Linked DNA regions of Cricetulus griseus. The protein of the gene in region 2 purifies or fractionates together with the protein of the main gene of each other region. This does not show direct contact. Links are inferred from orthologs where the notes say so. Each region holds a gene or a part of one and is shown on either strand. Other genes may lie near its edges.

Region 1 (10,559 bases), on a different chromosome or scaffold from region 2:
CCTCACCATCATCCTGACCTAGCGGTGAGGCAGGTACATCTTGATCATGTGTGGTACTGTGGCATAGATATCTCAGTGATCTTCAAGTCTCTAAATTGGTTTCACCTGGTCTTCCCTTTGTGACAAGTTCAGAGGGGTTAGGTCATCCCAGTGCAGGTGTAGTGCAAATTAATTTTCCTGAAAAGTTGCAAATTACTTGAGCACTGGCAGCCCTGTTTTGGAGGAGTCCCTCAGTGATGCCCAAGCAAGTAGCTGTCCACTTCCTGCATAGAATATTAAGTAGGGAATCTATAAAGCACGCCTGTGTTCTGCTTTCCCACAAGCCTTGTTTCCCACAGACGGTACATAGCCATGTGCCGAGAGAGGCAGCCTACCGTGCCTGAATCTCTGGCTGACTACATCACAGCAGCATATGTAGAGATGAGGCGAGAGGCCCGGGCCAGTAAGGATGCCACCTATACTTCTGCCCGGACCCTACTGGCCATTCTTCGACTTTCTACTGCTCTGGTGAGTGCTGTGTCCTGTCAGCTGGAAGGCTGACCCTTGCCTGCCACCTCACCTTAATGGCCCTCAGGCTGCCTCTTCCTCCCTCCCACTAGCCCTGCTGGGGCTAAAGTGCTGACAGTGCAGATAGTGGTCCTCTCTGTGCTACCGCACTGTGGGTACTTGCTGCTCCAGCAGGGCACATACAACACCCATGGAGGGAAAGGCTGCTTGCTACTTAAATCCAAGAGGGGCAGATGGACTTGTTGAATTCCTGATGTCCTAGATATATGGTCTTAGATATCTCCATTCTGTCCTTCCCTCTTGGACCTTAGTCATGGGGGCTCCAAAGTGCTGTTCGTGCAGGTAGTGTAATTACCTGACCTACTGCTGAGCTAGCACTTCCCGAGCCCCCAGGACACAACCTCTCTGACAATGACCCTAGCTGAGCTCCCCAGGCCCCATTTGTCATGATGGGGAACCTAGTGGAGTTCAGAAGGGTCTGGTCTCCCTCACAGGACAGCTGAACACCTACCGGGACTGGCCAGTGTTGAGAGGCGGAGACTTGGGCAATTGCTGGAAGCTGCCCTGGGCATTGCACTTGTCTCGGTCTGACAGTGCCGGCCCAACACTGCAGATTGGGGGAGGGGGCAGGGAGGAGTCCCCATTTTTTTAAGTGGGCAAACATGGCTTGCCACCCTTGAAGCTGGAGCAGTGAAGACCTTTGACTTCATCCCCTTTCTCCCCTCCTATCCCCATCTTTTTCTTGCCTTCCCCCTTAGGCTCGCCTCCGTATGGTGGACATTGTGGAAAAAGAAGATGTAAATGAAGCCATAAGGTTGATGGAGATGTCAAAGGACTCACTTCTAGGTGAAAAGGGACAAACAGCTAGGTGAGTGTCTTAATGAAGATGAAATTGGGGCACTTGACTTTATTGAGCTGGTCATAAGTTTTGTGGCTTCTGCACCCAAACATACAAGTTTGACCTCAGGATTTTGATTCTGATTGCTATTCTGTTTGCTTAGCCCTGCACACTGACATTTTCCATCTATGTGTTTCAGGACCCAGAGGCCAGCAGATGTGATATTTGCCACAGTTCGTGAATTGGTCTCAGGGGGACGAAGTGTCCGGTTTTCTGAGGCTGAGCAGCGCTGCATATCACGTGGTTTCACACCAGCCCAATTCCAGGCAGCTCTGGATGAATATGAGGAGCTAAATGTCTGGCAGGTCAATACTTCTCGGACACGCATCACTTTTGTCTGATGACCAGCTTTGAGGTTCACCCTTTGTCTGACGACCAGCTTTTAAGGCCCTGCTGCGCACCCCATAGCATTTGCTGGATGCCCCAAAGGAACAGATCGAATTTTCCCATACTGCACTTTTTTGTTTGTTAATAAAATGTTTTGACTTTGGGCCTGGCTTCTGTTAAGATAGCATTTTTTGGGGAATGGGCAAACACTACTAATTCCAATGTAAGTTTCTATTCTACCTTGCCACATTTAAGAGCTAGGGTGTGGCAAGGACTTAATAGAGCCTTCTCCCCTGGTATGTATGAAGCACTGAGCCTTACTGTGTGCTAATCAATACAGTGCCAGGATCAGGGCCTAGGGCCCACTTTTTTTTTGAGACAGGGTTTCTCTGTGTAGTTTTGGAGCCTGTCCTGGTACTCGCTCTGGATACCAGGCTGGCCCCAAACTCATAGAGATCTGCCTGCCTCTGCCTCCCGAGTGCTGGGATTAAAGGCATGCACCACCAATGCCCAGCTCCCACTCATTTCTTGAAATATTTCCATTGTAGACATTCTTTTTAATTCCCACCTCTTGAGAGGGTGGTGAAATAGGAGATGGAGGATGGCACAAGAAATGACTTCAGTGGAAGTTTCACAGATGGGCTGAAGTAGAGACTCAAAGAAATTGTTCCTCTTGGTACTTTTCACTTCCATGGGACCAAGGGTTTACGTTATCCATAATTACAAGATAGGCTCTTTATCCCTCCCGTTCAGAGACTGGAAAAGCAGTCATTTGTCATTTCTGTGGGTTGGCCTATGTAAATTGCTACCACAGAACTAGAAGCAAACAGGCAGTCCTACCACATTCTGCCTATCTAGACAAGGGGTTACCTCAAGTCATTAAAAGGTGGGTAGGCAGTGGAGACGTAGTGGTGAGTAGATTCTGCCTCTGAGCAGGGCTGCTTTGAGGATTCCAAGTTTGAGAAACCAGTGTGGGGCTGGTAGGACAAAGCCACTGGAAGGGCTGCTAAGGGGCTGCTCTTTTATTAATGACAGTTTCTCTAAGGGGAATGTAGTGCCCAGTAACAGTTGTCTGAGCCCTGTACATCATCCCTTCTAGAACCCTCATCAGAAAAACAGTCCCCGCATTCGCCTGCCGATGCCCTGTCGGTCGTAGAGAACGTTGAACTTGTTCACAAACTGGTTCATTGTGTTGCACGTTTTGGTGATGGTGCCGAGGTAGGCCATGAGCCCCACGTCATTGCATTGCTGGGAGGGAACAGAAAGAGCCAGTTCCCCAGGGATCTCTCACATTAGGGCCAAGGACAACTGAGGTTGGTGTGATGGTGTGAGCCCCACCTCCCCAACAGGGGTATTAACACTCACATCATAAAAGTCTGTCTTGAACTTGTCTGTGCTGAGAACTGGTAGACAGTGACATAGGGCATAGGCCTCACGCAGGATCTCATGGTTGAAGGGGACCTCTCCTAAGGGTACAATGAGGCTGCACTGATGGGGATGCTGTCACTTCTCCAGGAGGGAGGAAAAACGATTAAAAGTGACAGAGGCACCTGTCCTACCTGCTTCTGAGGCCTTGACATACTCTAAAATGAGCTTCACGCGGCTGTGCAGCATCTTGATGGCACTATGCTGAGCTATCAGGTGTTCGGCCACTGCAGGGGAATGCGGCAAATGAAAGACAGTATGTGACCACAGCCACCCCACACTTCGAAAGAATTCACCTCCCTTACCAGTGGAGTTCTCCCCACTGCCTGTTGCTGTCATCCGTGCCACATGGTCTACACCGATACGTTCAGCTTCCTCAGTGGCCAGTGTGTACGTGAGCTCAGCAAACAGCATTGTAGCCTGCAGAGCAAAGGGTTCCCACATGAGAAGAGTCAGAATCGGAAACAAAGGAGCAGATGGCTGCACAACCCTGAGGATCTGACTTTAGATCCTCAGAACCCACAGTAAGCTAGATGTGGTAAGAATGTGTCTGTACCCCCAGCACTCCTACAAGACCAGAAGTAGGGCACAATTCCCAGAAACCCCCAGGCAACCAGCCTGGCAAACAAGATGCTGTCTCAAACAAAGTAGAAAGTAAGGATGGACATCCAGGGTGGTCCTGTGACTGCATACATGTGCATGGCATGCAGGAAACAGGCTAAAAGCAGGAATTGAAGGTTGCAGGGTAGGTATTACCTCTCCATTGATTATATCGATGACAGACTCAAAAACGCTGACAGGAAGCTGTAAGACAGATGGAGACAACTCTTACTAAGAGCAAATGCACTTGAACTTAAACATGTGCCAGGCTGGCCTGGAACTCACAATCCTGCCTCAACCTTCTGAGTGCTAAAACTGATTAAAAGTATGTGGACACACTTGGCTCACCTTTTCAATTTTCCCCAAAACATACCCACATTACATATGAAAGTGCCACTTACAAGATGACATCATAGAATTGATGGGTAACTAGCAGCATGGTAGACATTCAACTCAAGCATTCTCTAATACAGATGATGTCACACAGTAAATTACAGCAGAGCATGAGGATCAAAAGCAGGCAGAGTGGTAGATGATAAAGACAAAGGGGACATAGGGTCAGCAATACTCACATCTGTGTGCTTGGTCATGGGGTTCAACTTCAGAAAGAGGGGGCTCTCAATTATCTCGCACACCTAAAAGAAAAGAGAAGGCACCCCCCAAAAGTCAACCTTTCTTCCTCTTATGTTTGGTTCTCTTCCCCAACATGTACACATTTGAACCTGTATACCTGCTTATGGACGTGGATGTCGGAGGGGTCAGGCGGCCCCCCTGTGGTATACCAACCCAGAAACTCCAGCTCCTTGAACACCTGTTTAACTGAAGAAGGGGCCAATGTAAACAATATTTCTTTAAACCGCTCTTCGTTTCACTGACTTTGGTGTATTTCTTTTTTTCCTCACCAGTTCTTCCCTCCCTCCTCAAATTTTGGCTCAGTTTGGAGTAACTACACTCTGCCATCGCTCATCCTTTACTTGCTGAAAATAACCTTTTATTTCTGATCTCCTGTCTCCATCTCCTGGTTTATATGATACTCGAGGACTTAACTCTGGGCTTCTTGCATGTTAGGGCAAGCACTATACCCACTGTCCTACATCCCCAGCACTTTTATCTTACATTTATCTTAGCCAAAAGGACGAGAAGCAATGCACTTTTACTTAAGACCAACCCAACCCCTGCCCCCCCAAATCTTCCCACTTCACTTCTCTTTCCCACCCACTTGTATCCCCTCTCACACTGCTCCTCCTTGGTGTAGTAATATTCCTTGTCAATGATAATCTTCTCTTCCACGGTGTGGGACAGCAGCTCAAAAGAGTTCATCACTTCGATATTTCGCCCCTCCTGCTTCCCGATTAAAGCCCCAATCACTGAGAGGAGAGAAGCACACCAAAGATAGGTGAGGGAACAGGCATCCAAAATCTTTCCTCATAACCCAAGACTCTGAGGTCAGTGTGAATCAATGATTGAGGGAACTAATTTGGAAGAAGTGGGAGGCGAGGGAAAAGTGATTGGAGGAGGTCTCCAAGAGGAGGGTTTGAGGTCTACACACAGCCCTCACCCTGCATAGGCCGCCCCTCCTGGGAGCGCATGCGGATCCAGTGGTCGGAGATGTTGAGGATGACAAGGGGATGAAGAGCGACGGAAACACTCCCAGTCACTCCAGAGGCCATCACGCTGGGGGCTGTGAAAGGTAAAGGAAAACACAGCGGTGAAAGCTCGGGCCCTCACATTCTCTCCTAGACATGGGAGTAGGGGACCGGCGCAGCCGGGCCGTCCATCCCTGCCCGCAAGTTACGCTGGGACAGCTGTCTGTCGCTTCTCCCGGGCTTAGGTAGTACTCAAGATACTCCGCAAGGGCGATGCCAGAAGTCGCTCCGCACAGCCCGTTACCTGCTGCATCCACCTCCATGCCGCTGCTGCCTCCGCTCCCGTTCGCAGCCGCCGCCGCCATTTTCCCCGCGCCCGCCAGCCACGGCCCGCCCCCTTCCTTCCCGGCTTCCGTCGGCGAGCGGCGCATGCTCAGTATGTGCTTGGCGCTGCTAAAGGGCGGGGCATCTGCCAGTCCTTGGTAGTCCTGGATGTCCAAGAGCACGTCGTACTGTGTTGCTGTTACCTGTTCTCAAGTAACCTAGCATGGCCTTGAACTCTGTATTGTGTATCTGAGGATGACTTCCACTTTGATCCGCCTGCCATCACCTCCCAAGTACTGTTATTACAGGTGTGCATCAACAAGCCCTGGTATTTTATGCTCAAAGCGCAGAGTCACTAGGCCTTGGGTCAGCCAGAAGTCACTGGAGAGTAGGGCTGTTCGTTTCCAGCGCTCAGTGGGTGCATTGTATGTACTGGAGCCAGAAAATTGCAACCAAAAGGAAGCAAGGCTGTTAGCAGGATGTGGAAAGCAATTTATTCAAGATATTAAACTTTTTCATGTTGCATATAATCTGTATGCAGGAACTTGGTCACTTGTTTGTTTGTTGACATAGGACCTCACTGTGTAGCCCATCTGGCTGGGAACTTGCTCTTAGAGCAGGCTGACTTCAAACTCACAGAGATGCGCCTGCCTCTGTTTCCTGAATGCTGGGATTAAAGGCGTGCGTGCGCCACCATGCTCAGCAAGCCTAGCTTTTGTGTGTGTGTTGGGGATTTAAACTCAGATCCTAACACATTATCATTGAGCCACCTCCTCAGCTGTGACTGCTCTTGAACTGTTTAGCTGCTTCAGTGGCAGGGCAACCTGACTCCTTACACAACTTAGTGACTGCTACTGGGAGAACTTTGGGCACACAGTGGGATGGGTGCCAGGTGAATCTGGGGCCACACTGGTGTGGTATCTGCTACTTACTGGCAGAACCTCTTCAGTAATTGTCTTAGGGTCTCTATCACTGTGAAGAGACACCATCACGATGGCAAATCTTATAAGGAAAACATTTAATTGAGGGGGCTCACTTACAGTTTCAGAAGATCAGTCCATTATCATCATGACAGAGCATGGCAGTGTGCAGGCAGATGTGGGGCTGGAGTAGCTGAGAGTCCTACATCTTGCAGGCAACAGGAAAGTGACTGACAGTCACACTGCAGGAAGCTTGAGCAAAAGAGACCTCAAAGCCCTCCTGCCCACCCCCTGCCACCCACCCCACCCCCGCCTACCCAGTGACATACTTCCCCCAATAAGGCTATATCTCTTAATAGTGCCACTCCCTTTGGGAACCATTTTCTTTCAAACCACAACACAGTGATCAAGCAACTTTGTAGAAGTCTCCACCACTTTTCTGGCAGAGGACTCTAGCCATCAAGCTGCCGCCAGCAAATCACATAAGAGAAGCCTTTATCCTGCTTGATTGTACCAATAGGGAAGGTGCAGTGTTGTGGTGGTTTGAATAAGAATGGCCCCTGATAGGCTGGAGAGATGGCTTAGAGGTTAAGAGCATTGGCTGTTTTTCCAGAGGTCCCCGGTTCAATTCCCATCACCCACATGGCAGCTCACAACTTGTAACTCCAGTTCCAGGAGACCTGACACCCTCACACAGGCATACATTCAGGCAAAACATCAATGCACACAGAAGTAAATCTTAAAAAAAAAAAAAAAAATGGCCCCCATCGACCACCAACGCCCGGCTATGCTATAAACTTAAAGCGGTTACCATTAGAAGAAAAACAAGACAAAGAAACGTTAATGCTAACAGCAATTTAACACTATTTTTAAAATGCTTAACACCTGTCTAGGGCCCAAGGAGAACTAGGTCCCCTTCATCTGTCTCAGAATGAATTTTTCAGATGTTAGTTACACATGGGAGATGATTTTTATTTACTTACTTATTTTCAATGTGTGTTTGTGTGTGTGTGTTTGCGGGCATGTGCACACGCGCTGACCCAAAAGCTAAGAATATCATCAGATAGCATATGAGTCCTATAGAAAAGCTTACTTCATAGCTGAGTGCTGGTGGCGCACGCCTTTAATCCCAGCATTCGGGAGTCAGAGGCAGGTGGATCTCTGTGAGTTCGAGACCAGCCTGGTCTACAGAGTGAGTTCCAGGACAGCCAGGGTTACACAGAGAAACCCTGTCTCGAAAAACAAAACAAATAAAATAAACAAATCTTCTTAAAAAAATCAACTGAGCCGAACCTTCAGCCCATGATGCTCATGTATATTAACAGATTCTTCAAGTTTCTTAAATTTGTTGTGGAGGTTTGGGAGATGGTGTTGGCTGGTCCCTACCCACTGTACCTTCTCCCAGAGACATCGGAACTTGTGCCCTGAATTCCCAGGTCCCTTCCCGACCTGGCCAGCAGGTGACGCAGTCCGGAGCACTTGTTTTTCCTGCACAGCAGTCGTCTTTGAGTCAGCGTACCATCAGAGATGAAGACCTCCTATTTTCCTAGAGAGAGCAAATGGGCGTTCGGCTCTCAGGGGTTGCAGTGGGTGGTGAAGAAGGACGACCCGGAAATGAAACGGGGAGGGGGCACTTCCGTTCTTTGTTCTGTTCTCGGTTGTCCATCGGGGCCTGGTTCGTGTCCGGGCCCCTAAGTCTTACGTCCCTGTCCCCAGGGTGAGTGGGGCCGTCTTCGGGACTCGCGGTGAGGCGGCAGTGTGGTCCCCGGGGAAGGGGGTTGGTGTTCACGCCCCTGCAGCCCGCGGGGTCCTGGGCGCGCAGCGGGGACTCCGGATCTGCTCGTGTCCTCCACCGCCAGCCCCCGTGTCTGAAATTCCCGGCGTCTCTCGGTGCTGGGGGCAGGAGAAGGGAGTTTGTTTTTCCTGGACTGGATCGGAGAGTGAGAGTAGCAGTGAGAACTAGAGCTTGCGAGGAGGTGCGAACTCGGGCCCCATGCGCTCCTCACCAAGACCTAACGCCCTACAGATAGGCAGGTTTCCTGGCGAAGCTGCACAAGGCTGCAGCAGACGCCCTGCAGAAAGTGGCTGAGTGTGTCCAGCGCCAGAGAACCTGTGTCATTTCAGCTCAGCTCTGTAGCGTGCAATGAAAAACAAAGACCGTGTGTGGAGATATATATATATATATATATATATATATATATATATATATGTATATATATGTATATATATCCATATCCCTTTCCCTGACATACCTCTTAAGCATCTATACTAGAAATAAACTTCACGGTATTTTTCCATTTTGCTCCTTAAGCATGCACCACCGGTATCACCTAGAGCAGTGGTTCTCAACCTAACGCTGCGACCCTTTAATACAGTTTCTCATGGTGTGGTGACCCCAACCATACCGTTATTTTTGTTGCTGTTTCATAACTGTGATTTTGCTACTGTTATCAATCGGAAATACCTGTGTTTTCTGCTCCTCTTAGGTGACCTCTATGAAAGGGTCATTCAACACCCCACCCCACCCCCCACTCCCCCACCCTTGTTGAGAAATGCTAACCTAAAATGAATTTCCAGGAATTAACCAAGCTTGCTAGATCATGCCTCTAATCCCAGAACAGATGAAAATGAAGCGGGAGTATGAATATAATTTCGAGGCCAGTCTGTACTATACAGTTAATTCCAGGCTAGTCTGGGGTATACCATGAGGTCTTACCCAATAAAGGAAGCCCAAAAATAAATAAATAAAATCCCAGGAACTGAATAAAAGGTGCCAAATTTCTTTGTTACTTTACTCTTACAGGGATTAACTCCATAGAAGGAAGAATGGATCCAGGAAGGGAGGCTTCTCTTGACCTGTCCTCCCTGTCATGTGGTCTTTCTTGGTCCCCTGAGCAGCTTGAGCAGGGGAGGGGAAAGTCTCTGCCCACACGAAGATGGCAGGAGTACTATGCAGAGTTTCTATGAGAAACATTGTTTACTGACTCAGACACTGTGAGCTTGTCCTTACCAGTATGCTGGAGATCCAGCTTCCATTAACCCAGCCTTGAATGGGGAATGTTGCCTTTTACTCTGTTGTTTGTGTGTTGTTTGAGATAGGATCTCTCTACAAAGCCCTGTCAGTCCTTGGACCAGGCTGACCTTGAAGCCCACCTCCCAAGTGCTGGGATCAAAGGCATGGGTCATCGTGCCCAGCTTGCCTCTTTGGAGGCAGCCGTGCTGAGCCTGTGCGTGTTTGTTTATATGTGTGTTTCTTTGAGATAGGGGCTGGGTTTGAGGGTTGGAACTTACAGTCCTGTCTGAGACTCTCAGGTACTGGGATTTCAGGCCAGTGCCACCCAGTCAAGTTGTTGACACACTCCCAAACCCCAGCTGTCCTGGACTTGCTTTATAGACCAGGCTGGCCTTGAATTTAGAGATCTGCCTGCTTCAGCCTCCCAGGGTTAAAGGCCTGCGCTGCTTCCTTTTTTTTTCCTTCGAGACAGGGTTTCTCTGTGGCTTTGGAGGCTGTCCTGGAACTATCTCTTGTAGACCAGGCTGGTCTCAAACTCACACAGATCTGCCTGCCTCTTCCCTCCCGAGTGCTGGGATTAAAGGCGTGTCATTCACGCCTGATTCACCTTTTTAAAAGGAGATAATTTTGTTGTTTTTGTCCTTTTTGTGATGGGGTCTCATACAGTTGCTGGATTGTTGGTCTGTTTTTTTTTTTTTTTTTTTTTTGTGGATGGGTGTGTTGTCTGTCCCCAGAGACCAAAAGAGGGCATCAAATCCCCTGGGACTGGAGTTACAGATGGCTGTGAGCCACCATATGACTGGTGGGAATTAGACCTTGGGTCCTCTGGAAGGGCAGCCAATACTCTTAGCCACTGACCACCACCTTAGTCCCTTGTTTGTTTTGTGAGACAGTATCTCATAAAGAGCTGTGAGATCCTATTTTTTAAAAAAGTAGGTGTAAAGTAGTCTTAAAAAAAA
Region 2 (10,822 bases):
AACTAGAACAATACCCAGGTAGCCCATCGGTAGCTGTTCTGTCCATTTGATCACTGTCTGCTGCCACCTTCCAAGCTTTCTTTCCCTCCCCCATCTCCTACCACTCCCATGATTTATCCCCTATGTTTTTTTTTTCCTACTTAGCTATTGTAATGTATTTCAAATTCCTTCTCCAAGTTTTTAGAGTAGTGAGGTTGATGGAGAGCCTTGGTGGAGAAAAGAAGGTCAGAACAAAGACCAGATTCAAATCACCAGTTATGGGAAGCTAAAGGGAGGCTTTCTATTATCACAATACCAACAAGGAGATAAGGTGTGTGTGTGTGTGTGTGTGTGTGTGTGTGTGTGTGTGTGTGTGTGTAAGCTCAAAGGCCCACATGGAGGCCACAGAACCTCTGGCTCTTGTGCCCCAGGCACTGTACATTTTTTTTTTTTTCTTTTCAGGCAGTGTTTCTCACTAGGCTGAGATTTGCTTGTCTAGGCTGACAGATCATCAAGCCCCTGCCTCCCCAGCAATGGAATTACAAGCATGCTCAGCCTTTTCTTTTTTTTTTTTTTTTCTTTTAAAGGTATCTTCTGGAAATCCAATAATTTAGGGCCTCATGTTTGTAGAGCAAGCACTTTACAGACTGTGCCATCTCTCAGGCCCAGGGTTTATCTGTTTTCTACAAGTCAGTTTACCAAGCAAAGCCAGCAACGTTCCAAATGTTTCTGTTTTACAAGAGACAAGCCACACACCATAACCAAAGCCTGCTGATGTCCAAAAAAAAAATAAGGGAGTAAAACAGCTGACTGATAACTAATTATCATTAGAGATAGCATGCTAATTCAAAGATTCTTCTCGGCCCTAACATTCTGTAATTTGACTACTTTAAATAAATCATAAGTTTATGATTGTCATATTGATTATTTTTTATGGCATACCATTCATCACAGCTAGCCATATATCAGTTAATGGTGAGGTCCTGGCCCATAATGGAATCTCCCCAATACAAACCATGGAGTATGATCTGTCTTGTCATGGTCTAAGATATAATAAACTTTATAGACCAAGTTTTTATAGGATAGCATGTAACTATCTTTTAATTGATCAGAAATATCCCTTAACTAAGTGTGCTTTTCCAACGCTATTAGGTGAGCTGTTAAAAAGATGTTAAAAAAACATGTTAAAAAGATGGCATCTAGAGGACTCCTTAATAATCCATTCCCTACCCCCTTGTTAATGACTCTGCGTTTAAAGTTCCCCGAGAAGGATCGACAACCATTATAAATTATTCTTTAAAGATCGAGGAGGGAAACAGAGGCAAGAGATGCTGTTAATTCTGATGCAAATGGGAAATGTCTGTGACTTTAGATACTGGCCTCTTTCAGAACTCTGGTTGGGATTTATCTACTATGTATACAAACCTGTCTGCTGGAAGTAGAACATTTCAGGCAGGTGGAGGTTTTGAAGGGCTACTCTACTTCGAGGCTCCCTAGTAGTGTAGTGTGTGCTTTTACCAAAGACTTCTGCAGAGTGCTTGTAAGAGATGGTGTCTCTGCCTCCATGGTCCTATAACTTCATGGCTCGAAACAACTACTCAGTCTCTGATGGTTTGAAATTCTACCTCCTGCCTATTCCCAAATGCTCATCTATGTAGCTGAAAACTTGTGCTTGGTACATGGGATTCAAAAGTAATCTCACAGAACAGAAAATACTGAATTTCTTATGAAAGTTCTGTGGGACCCGTCCCCACCTTTCAGCTTTGGGACCTGCACAACCATGGTTTATTCTCTATCATTTCATATGGGAAGGCCTGATGTCTTGCCTCTTAAATTGGCTTGGAAACTTCTTAAGAGTTGGAACCCACCTACCTCCTGTAATAAAAATTCTTATCCTTAACAGATCCATGCTAGGAAGTTCCCTACTCTTACTCAAGGGAGTGGAATCTGTTCAACAGGAACAGCTGCTCCGTTGAGCGTCACTGGGTGATCTGTAGTTACTGGGTTAAACAAATCGCTTAACCTCCCTTGGCCCCAGTCTCCCTGTTGAAGAAGAAGTTTTCAAATAAGAGTTTATGTCTTAGAGTAAGGTAAAATTTTAAAAATTAATCAAAAGTTGTTGCATACCACAGATATATATATATATATATATATATGTGATATTTGTCCATTTATATGAATACACAATACCCGTAGAATAAAAACATAAATGTACAGAAGCAAACACTACCCAAATCTTGACTCAAACTCAACAAATGTCCACTACTATTCTGTCAAGTTTACTTCTATGTCCTGAAGGCTAAGATGAAGTTGAATTGTCTCCATTACTGAGACCCAGATTCCCAAGATCCTCAGCTGTCTAGTGCCATTTTAATTTTCAAGTTAGTAAGAAAACCGCAGAAAGGAGTGAGGGGCACAAGGTTCATGCTAGCACCATCTTCCTCACAGAGAAAATAGGACGATTTCCATCAACAAAGAGCTTGCGTCATTTCCAATAAACAAGGCAAGAGGCAAAACCCAATTCTTCCAAGACACATGAAGAAACCTGTTCTAAAACCCACATTCAGCCTCAGCGACTGCACCATCCATCTGTGTGTTGTGGGTTTGCACAAAGATACTGACCTGGCTCACGGAAGTGAAGAACAGAAGTCCCTGCTCGTAGCTGGACTTACCTAGAGACAGAGAGAAACACTGTTGAAATCTCACTGCCTGCCAGGAGCCCATGGGAGCTCATGGATTTTTGCATGTTTTTTATCTCTCTCCCTCTCTCTACAGCCACCTGATTTTAGCTGATGTCATGCATACACTGGCATTTCTTTGGGTCAAGTGTATCCTGAAATAGCTATGTTAACATTTTATAGCATCCACAAAAGTATATTTCTGAGCATTTGGGGATGTTACAGAAAAAACACTTAGCCACAAGCTGATGGGAGACACAGTGAAAACTCAGACTCTTGATTTTAAAACAACATCACCTTAACCCCAAAGCAAGCAATTCTGGTTTCTTCTTCTTTTTTTGTGGCAGTATTAATTCATTAACACCAACTAGCTTCTGTGCCTCTTTGTGATTGATTACACATAGCCCTGTGCCTTGAAATGCACACGACCTTCACAGTCTTGGAAGGTAAGAGTAGGCAAACTTAAAAGATTGTTGCTAACACCCCCACCCCCAATGGTAGTTCAAAGCCTTCTACCCTGGGATGAAATGGGTCAAAACCATACCCCCATTAACAATCAAATATGATCGAGGAATCTCCAGGGGAACCTTGTTTAACATAATAATTGACTGCTCACTCCACCTGTGGAGCAACATGCAGATAGACGTTCTTCACAGTCTAAAAGCTTGAGTTTATCTTATGGGAAGCACCAGGTCTCATAGACGCCCAAACGATCATTGAAGATGAAATACAGCACCGAGTCTCAAGGTAGTGTTTGTAAGTGAACTTAGGAGTCTCTTGACGGTTTACTATCGGCCCCCTGGCAAAGCGGAAAGCCCCTGGAAGCTTGGGATGATTTTGAGTCTCAAGGAGTTTCTTGAAGCAGCCAGTCCAGCAACCGGGATGGGAGAAACTCCAGAGCTAATGAAACTAAGTATCCAAGAAGAGTTCAGCAGCTCCCCCCAAACACAGGCCAGGGAGGTTCAGTCAGGATGACTGCTCTCTACTTTCTGCAGTTCCCCAGCTTTCTGTGACGGTGTATGTGCATCAATCTTCATGCACCCCCCCCCCCCCCCAGCACAGTCAGTTCCAAAGTCACAGCTTGTGCGCTGACGTGAAAAGCCAAGTCAAAACCCTGTGTTTGGCTCTCCCTCCTAACTTTCTGGCTTGTCCAAGTCTAAATATTGACTTTGCTCCTCCGTTGAGTAGTTTGATACGGGATGGAAACCGCACCGCCAACAGAGGGATCGAATGATATATTTTTACACAGCCTTGCCTTCCTTCCGCTTGTTTTTTTTGGGGGGTGGGGTGGGATGAGGTGGGGTGGGGTGGGTGTGGATCTCTTCTGCACATCTCCCCCATACCTGGCTGTAAGCTTAACCCAGTAAGCTGAAGCCCACGCACAAGTTCGGGTGTGTGCAAGTCCCTCACAGGCAGCGTGTACCGGTTGTCACAGCAACTCACAACCGACTCCCTTACACACAGGGCTTGGGGTGGGGGGAGGGCGAGGGGCGTCGCCGTGCACCTGAACACCCTGCTCCCGGCAGTGCAAGCGCCCAGGGGAACAGAGCACCTCGCTTCTCCGGTCCCGGGTTCCTCGCCACGGTCCTTCGAGGAAAAGGCGCCTTCCCCGGGGGCGCGGCAGCACCCGCCCTGGTGCAGCCGGCCTCCTTAGGTGCCTGTTGTACGTGTTCTCAGCAGCTACAAGTTAGGGGTGCGGCTGGGGCGGGTATCTCTTCAGCTCACGCGCCTGGGAGGGGACTGTCCCCTGCCTCCCATCAGCTCGCTCCCGCAAATGTCGCTGGGACACATGGGCCGGGGTCCCCACCTGCCACCCTCAGGGCGATCGGGAGCTGGGGCTCTGCACTGGGACTCTGCACGACACAGCCACCTACCCTGCAGCCGAGCGAGACTCGGCTCTCTCCGCCGCTCAGGAGCGGCCCCCGCCGCGCGCGCTCGCGGGGACGCGGGGACCCTGCGCGCCGCGCGCCACCCGCCCGGCGTGGCACAAAGGCAGCATGGCACAGCCGCGCCCGGCCGCGTCCGCGTCCTGGCCCAGGCCACGGGGCTCGTCCCCAGGTCGCTGTCGCCTCCAGCCCTGCCCTCCTCCCGCCCCCGTCCCCGGCCAGGCGGGGCACCGGGCGGAACCCTGAGCCCCGGCACGGAGCGAGCAACGCGGTGGCGGCCTCCGATCGCTCCCTCTCTCCACCGTGACGTGAGCAGCCTTGGCGGCTATTTATAACCACACGATTGGATTTCATTCATGAAACCAGGGCCTGTTGTGTCGGAGCTGTGGGACGCGAGGTGGCGAAGGTGCCTCGACTGCACGCACACCGGAGGGCCTGGGCTCCGGGGTGCTTGGTCCGGACCAGCGTGTGCCTGGCACCCACGGGAGCCCGGCCTCAGGCCAAGCTGACGCCAGAGCAGGGCAGGGTGTGTGCGAGCTGTCCCCGAGCCCCCTCCCCGCAGCATCCCACCCACTCCCAAACATCCGCTGGCCCTCAGTCCCGGGCTCAGGAAAAGTAAGTTGGGCCACTAACCGGCTGGGCAGCATAGCTTTCTTCCCCCTAGGAACTGACCGGCCGCAGACTCCGAGGGAGGACATTGGCTTTTGTTTCAAAACCGAGCCCAGCTGCTGACTAAGCGCTGCGCTGGCCCAGCCTCCTCCCCTGGGCGCTGCACGTGCGGGCTGGCTCTCCCCCTCCTGGTCACCTTCCCCACCACCGGGTTTGAGGGGTCTCTGCAGGAAGCGGGGTGGGGTGATGGGGGCGCCCTGCTCTTCCAGACCCCAGAAACAGACGCTTCACAGCTCCTTTTAGAGAGGTTGGGGGTAGATCTGAAACTGACATTGGCCTCTCCTGGGTCGGCAGGAATTCTTGGAAACCAAAGAAAGCCAGAGTGTCCCTTCTCAGGGACATTCTCGACTTTGAAGCCTATTGTGAGTTCTGAGGGCAGAATCATGGCCATTTTTCATGCAGACACATAAGAACTGCATAGGTGCCTAGGGATGCCAGGCATCATGTCAAGCTCTAAGGAGGTGACCGTGGACACAACTCATTTGGCTCCTGCCCGCAGGGAACTTTCAGTCTGCCTTCTAAACTGCCTGTTGGGCTCAACTGTGTAATCCGCTCACTCCAGTCCGGCAAAAAGACAGCTGGGGGATTAGGGTGTGAATGCCTTCAGCTAGGGATGTGTTACCGTTTATAAACCCTTGTAAAGGCTGAGCACCAAGGCGGACACAAAGATGGCCACGCTTCATCCTTGGCCTCTGCCAAGATTTCAGGAGTGGGGGCAGGAGGAGTTATATTTTAATGTAAGGGCTGTTTCTTTGTGTTATTCTCCAAGTCCCCCCTAAAGAAAGAAGAGTAAACAAATCTCTCTCTCAGTACCACCCTCTCCTTTCAGAAAACCACCTTTGATTTTCTTAGATGGATTTCTCTTCCCACAATTTTTGAATTAATTTCAGTCCTTTTGGTAATTCCCTGCCCCTCCCTTAGATCCAGGGTCTCCTGTAACCTGATCTCAAAATTGCTGTGCTTGTCAAGGCTGCCCTTGAACTCATGACCCTTCTGCCTCCACCTCTCAGGTACCATGACCAGCATACTGGGTAAATAAAAAGGTTTTTTACAAGAAAATGTAGTGCGGCAACCTGTGCAGTCTAAAATCCTTAATTCACGGTTGCTGGAAAAGAGGCCATCAAGGCCATAACCTTTTGAAACTGTCTGGTATATGACAAGTCTAGGGTATATCCATATGGGTCTGTGGTCATTTGCTTGGCAAGGACCAGACTCCCCGCAGTTTGTTTTTAATAGTCATTTTCTTCATGAATGTATTTCTGTGAGAAAGTTAATTGACCCCGATGCTGTTAGCAAGCAATTCTACTTCATGTCAAATCACTTCCTTTCAAGCCACCCTGGGCACTGAGCAATAGGACAGTAACTAAGAAATGGGAAGCAATATGTATTGTGGCCCCAAAATGCAGCAGGGGAATAGTTCAAAACACATTTTTTTTTCCCTCATTGGATCATCACAACAGAGGAGGCCATGTACTGTTACCATCAGACCCATTTTACAGATGGGGTAACAGAGACAAAGAAAATTAATTTTTTTTGTGTGTGTTGTTAGTTGCTGACACTTGTGCCTGGGTCATCCAGGGATGGTCTTATCACCGGCTTTCTTTGTAACATCCGGTCCTCTTCAGTGTCTTTCACTTCCTCAGTCATACATTAAAAAGATGAGCATGGTGAGATGGCACAGTAAAGTGCTTGTCACACAAGGATGAGAACCTGAGTTTGATCTTTCACAGCACTGCAAAAAGCCTGGTATAACGGGCATGGCCATGTGATTCCTTATCTGGTGAGGATGCCCGGGGCTGATTGGCTCAACAGCCTAGCTGATTCAGCAGCCTCTAGTCCCAATGAGAGACCCTGTCTCAAAGGTGGGGGTGTGCTCCTATGGAACAACCCCAAGGTTGACCTCTGGAATCCACAAGTAAGAGCACAGATGTGTACCACGTATTATACCATACACATGAGCATGTGTGTGTGTGTGTGCGTGCACACTGACACACCTGCACATGTGCACCAACAATGAAATGGATAAGTGACAATGCTTTTCTGAAGCATCAAGCAGATGCCAAGAGTAGGAACACATTCAGCACTGTGTATGCCCTTGGGACTCTTCTTCCTGCCCGTCTCCCGATCTCCCAAATGACCATCCCTGTGAAGTGGGTAAGGAACAGCCACTAGCTGTCTTGGAATGGGCGTCACGGGATACCCGAACCTGAGGGGAAATGATTGGAAGAAATTCCAGGAAAACAAATTGTTATTAACTGTGACTTCAGAGACAGCAGAGGAAAAATGGTTGGACATTTTTTTTTTCCCATGCAATGATGGGAATCTCAAAAAGACACTGCCATCTACACCCTGGGCTGCACAGCCCCAAACTGCACACACATGACTTCTGATTCATGAAGGTGGAGGACTGGGCTGCATGCGCTGTAACTACCAACAGGAAAGAGCAAAGAGGAACAATGGGACAACACGCAGCGTCTTGCAGGACCTTGTCTGTGCTCCAGCCCACAGACGAACCAGCCTTTCCGGTCAAGAACTACTTACTGTTGGCAAACATGATCAACACTGTTCACCCCACCTATCAAGAATTGGAGCCTCAGTGGAAATTAGCCAACATTTTTCTCTCCACATACCTGTTTTAGTGCCCAAAAGTGATGTTAGAGTTTTTATGGTATTTTACCAGTGGCATTGACTTCCCTGAAAAAAAAAAATCCTCAGCAAAAATAACAAAAAACAAAAACCAATGACAAAAAACTGAAAATAAAAAATGAAACCAAACCCAAGAAACAAAATAAAACATTCCCCCCAATGGAAACACACAAACAACCAAAAACATCCTAAGTCAGCCATCTTACATGTGTGTGCTTATGCACACATACACACAATAATGATAAAATTTTAAACACTGCAATTTACATATATAAGTAGTTACCAGTAAAACTACTTGCTACTGACCCTTTGGCATTCAAACCATGATGAGACATATTATTTGGAATATCAATGTATATGATTTTCAGATTGAATTTTTGCACTGCACATACTGCCCTTGCGGTCCCTCCAGGGTGTCATCTGCATCAATAGTTCATTTCTTTTCATTTCTGACTAAAGATCTGTTATATGGACACACCAGGGTGTGTTCATTAACCCATGGAATAGCATTCAAGTTCTTCCAATATTTTGCTCCAGTGCAAAAACACCTCCATAAACATTTGTACACAAGTTTTTTGTGTGGATTGTCTTTTCTTTGGGATGAATGCTTAAGAATGTCAATCCTGAATCAAATTCTAAATTCTAAGCTCTCGGGTTTTATTTTCAGAAGGACTGTATGTTTTACATTTCGACCATTAGTATCATTACTTTTTTTTTTTTTTTTTTTTTACAAAATTACTGCTCAGTAGTAGAGAACCAACTCATTGTGGTTTCTATCTGCATTTCTGGAATGATTAACACTGTCAAACATCTCTTCCTGGGCTAACTGACCACACCTATCTCTTTATTGCTGAAAGGGATGTTTATGTCTTTGGTTATTTTATAGGTGGATTGCTTTCTTTTTTTGAATATTCTTAAATTTTAAAAAAAATATTTATTTTTATGTTTAGGTATGTGTACTTAGGTAATTCTGCCTAGGAGTATGCACACATTAGTGCAGGTGCCTGCAGTAACCAGAAGAGGGAGTCAGATCCCTGGAGGTGGAGTTTAAAGGTGGTTGAGAGCTGCCCAGCAGTGGGTTCTGAGATCTGAACTCCAGTCCTCTGCAAGAGCTGCAAGACTCAAAGCTGCTCAGCCAACCCTTCAGCTCTTCATTGTTGAATTAAATAAAAAATATTACGGGGTCATAAATTTCAAATTGCAAATTAAATATGCACCACTACCCCCACCCACCCGGAAAACTCTGTCAATCAATTCAATTACAAGTGCTCTGGGCTTCTATTGCCCAAGCCTTTTCTCAGTATATTCGTGGGTATGGGAAGTTACTTACATAAAATTCCCATGGAGAGGATTTTCTTAGTCTTGTGGTGTTAAGTCCTCATTTTAGCGGTCTGTAACCGACAGCCCGAGGAGCCAACGCCCCTCCCTTCTGCGCAGGCGCAAATGTCTCCTCTAGCGATCAATGCAATAGCTTGTAGGTGGCTTGGACCACCCGGGCCAGCAAGCTTCCACCGCCCACCCATTGGTTTGGAATGCCAGACCTGGCTGGAGGTATGAAAGGCTACCTGGACAATGAGTGGCAGCTGCTAAGGAGTCATTTCAGGTAAGTGTTCAGATAAGTCAGGGGGTGAAGATGCGGGAGAGAGTAAGCTAGCTGGCCAATCTGCCTACTTTAAAGAACAGCTGCATTTGGTCAAAAGGTTTATTGAAAAACAGCTGTTGGTGGAGATTGCTGGGTTGACACAGCTGCTGTTGCAATGGCCAAGAACTTTGTGGCATCTAAGAGATGAAGCGGCTGGTGGCACATGGACAGGCTGCCTCCACTGACTGGCTGGCTCTAAAGAGCTGCCCCAGGCTCCAGAGGCAGGGTAAGACAGGGTGCTGGAGGTAATAAGCCTTTATAAGCAGCTTTGTCTAAACTACGCTGAATGCCTGGCTTCCAGAAGGCATACAGTTGGTCCCAACTGCTCCATCCACAGGCCTGTTTTCTGGTTAGTGACAAGGGGCAGAGCTAAGTGTCTGTGTGCTTCCACAATGCTGTGTGCTGATGGCCAAAAGAGAAAATGACTTCCCACTACCCGGTTTCTTCAGATATCCTTTCATACAGTATCCATATGTTGGAGCAACATGTCTACGAGTTGCTCTAGCCAGACCAGCTAGGACAGGTATTTCTCAGTCTTGGGGCCATTTTCCCAACTTCGGTCGGGCTGATACAGCTGCCATATGAAACAATCCTTTCTGTCCCCAGCACCATGGGAAGGTTTTGTATGAAGCTACATTTGCTTGAGTAAGAAGAAAAGCCCTTGGCTCTGAGCGACCCAGCTGTGTGGAGGGTGGGCTATTGTCAAACTAAATTGCCTAAAGCTTTTTTTTTTTTTTTTCAAGTTAACCCTGCCATGTGCCCTGGAGGACACCAGAGCTCCGCCAGTTTGTGGGAGACACCATCCACTACCCTGATTTCCTGAAAGCTGCAGGTGGACAGCATCAGCAAGTCCTGCAGAGCCGTGTGCATTCTGTCCATCCTAAGGTGGTTGTGTGGACAAACTTGTATTTTAAAGACTAATTGTAGAAAAAGACATAGACTCAGGCTAAGCTAGTGGATCTAACCTAGGGATCTGGGTGGTTACCCACTTAAAGGTCAATGTATTAAAGATTCTATACTTTTTATTGTGTTTTTTTTTTCAGGCTAAAATTCGCAGCACAATTTCTATTTTTCCACATATCAGTGAATGAAACCAGACAAGATTGAGTCTGCAAACACACCACAGTATGCATGGAGGTTGGCATAATATTCTTTCTCTAAGCATTGTTTTTAGGTTTCCTGTTGGTGTTGGATGAGTTTGTTAAAAATGTGATTTTGCAAGCCCAGAAGTCTGAACTACATTCTTCTTCTAGTCAAAAGTCTCTTGTGCCAAGATAGCTCTTACTGACTTAGCTCCACATGCTCGAGAGAGAGAAAGGCAG

Evidence for each region. Proteins that work in one complex are often made in the same cells at the same time.
Region 1: the proteins of Rhobtb1 (region 2) and Cops6 purify together in Homo sapiens (affinity purification with mass spectrometry; 4 studies listed by BioGRID and IntAct, counting the BioPlex papers as one, with this or other methods). This does not show direct contact. The link is inferred for Cricetulus griseus from reciprocal best matches to the Homo sapiens genes RHOBTB1 and COPS6.

Annotation. Positions count from the first base shown.
Region 1 is NC_048597.1:116,885,819-116,896,377, forward strand, and holds Cops6 (COP9 signalosome complex subunit 6), read right to left. Parts: upstream 6,356-10,559; 5' UTR 5,775-6,355; coding exon 5,648-5,774; intron 5,439-5,647; coding exon 5,316-5,438; intron 5,125-5,315; coding exon 4,993-5,124; intron 4,577-4,992; coding exon 4,488-4,576; intron 4,393-4,487; coding exon 4,330-4,392; intron 3,962-4,329; coding exon 3,914-3,961; intron 3,578-3,913; coding exon 3,463-3,577; intron 3,385-3,462; coding exon 3,292-3,384; intron 3,199-3,291; coding exon 3,098-3,198; intron 2,981-3,097; coding exon 2,840-2,980; 3' UTR 2,269-2,839; downstream 1-2,268. Other genes in the region: DNA replication licensing factor MCM7, read left to right, coding at 339-507, 1,266-1,375, 1,545-1,746; Znf3 (zinc finger protein 3), read left to right, coding at 9,538-9,581. UniProt on the Homo sapiens protein: Component of the COP9 signalosome complex (CSN), a complex involved in various cellular and developmental processes.
Region 2 is NW_023276806.1:268,396,977-268,407,798, forward strand, and holds the start of Rhobtb1 (rho-related BTB domain-containing protein 1), read right to left. Parts: upstream 5,288-10,822; 5' UTR 5,177-5,287; exon of another isoform or gene 4,768-5,176; intron 4,666-4,767; exon of another isoform or gene 4,532-4,665; intron 2,652-4,531; 5' UTR 2,602-2,651; intron 1-2,601.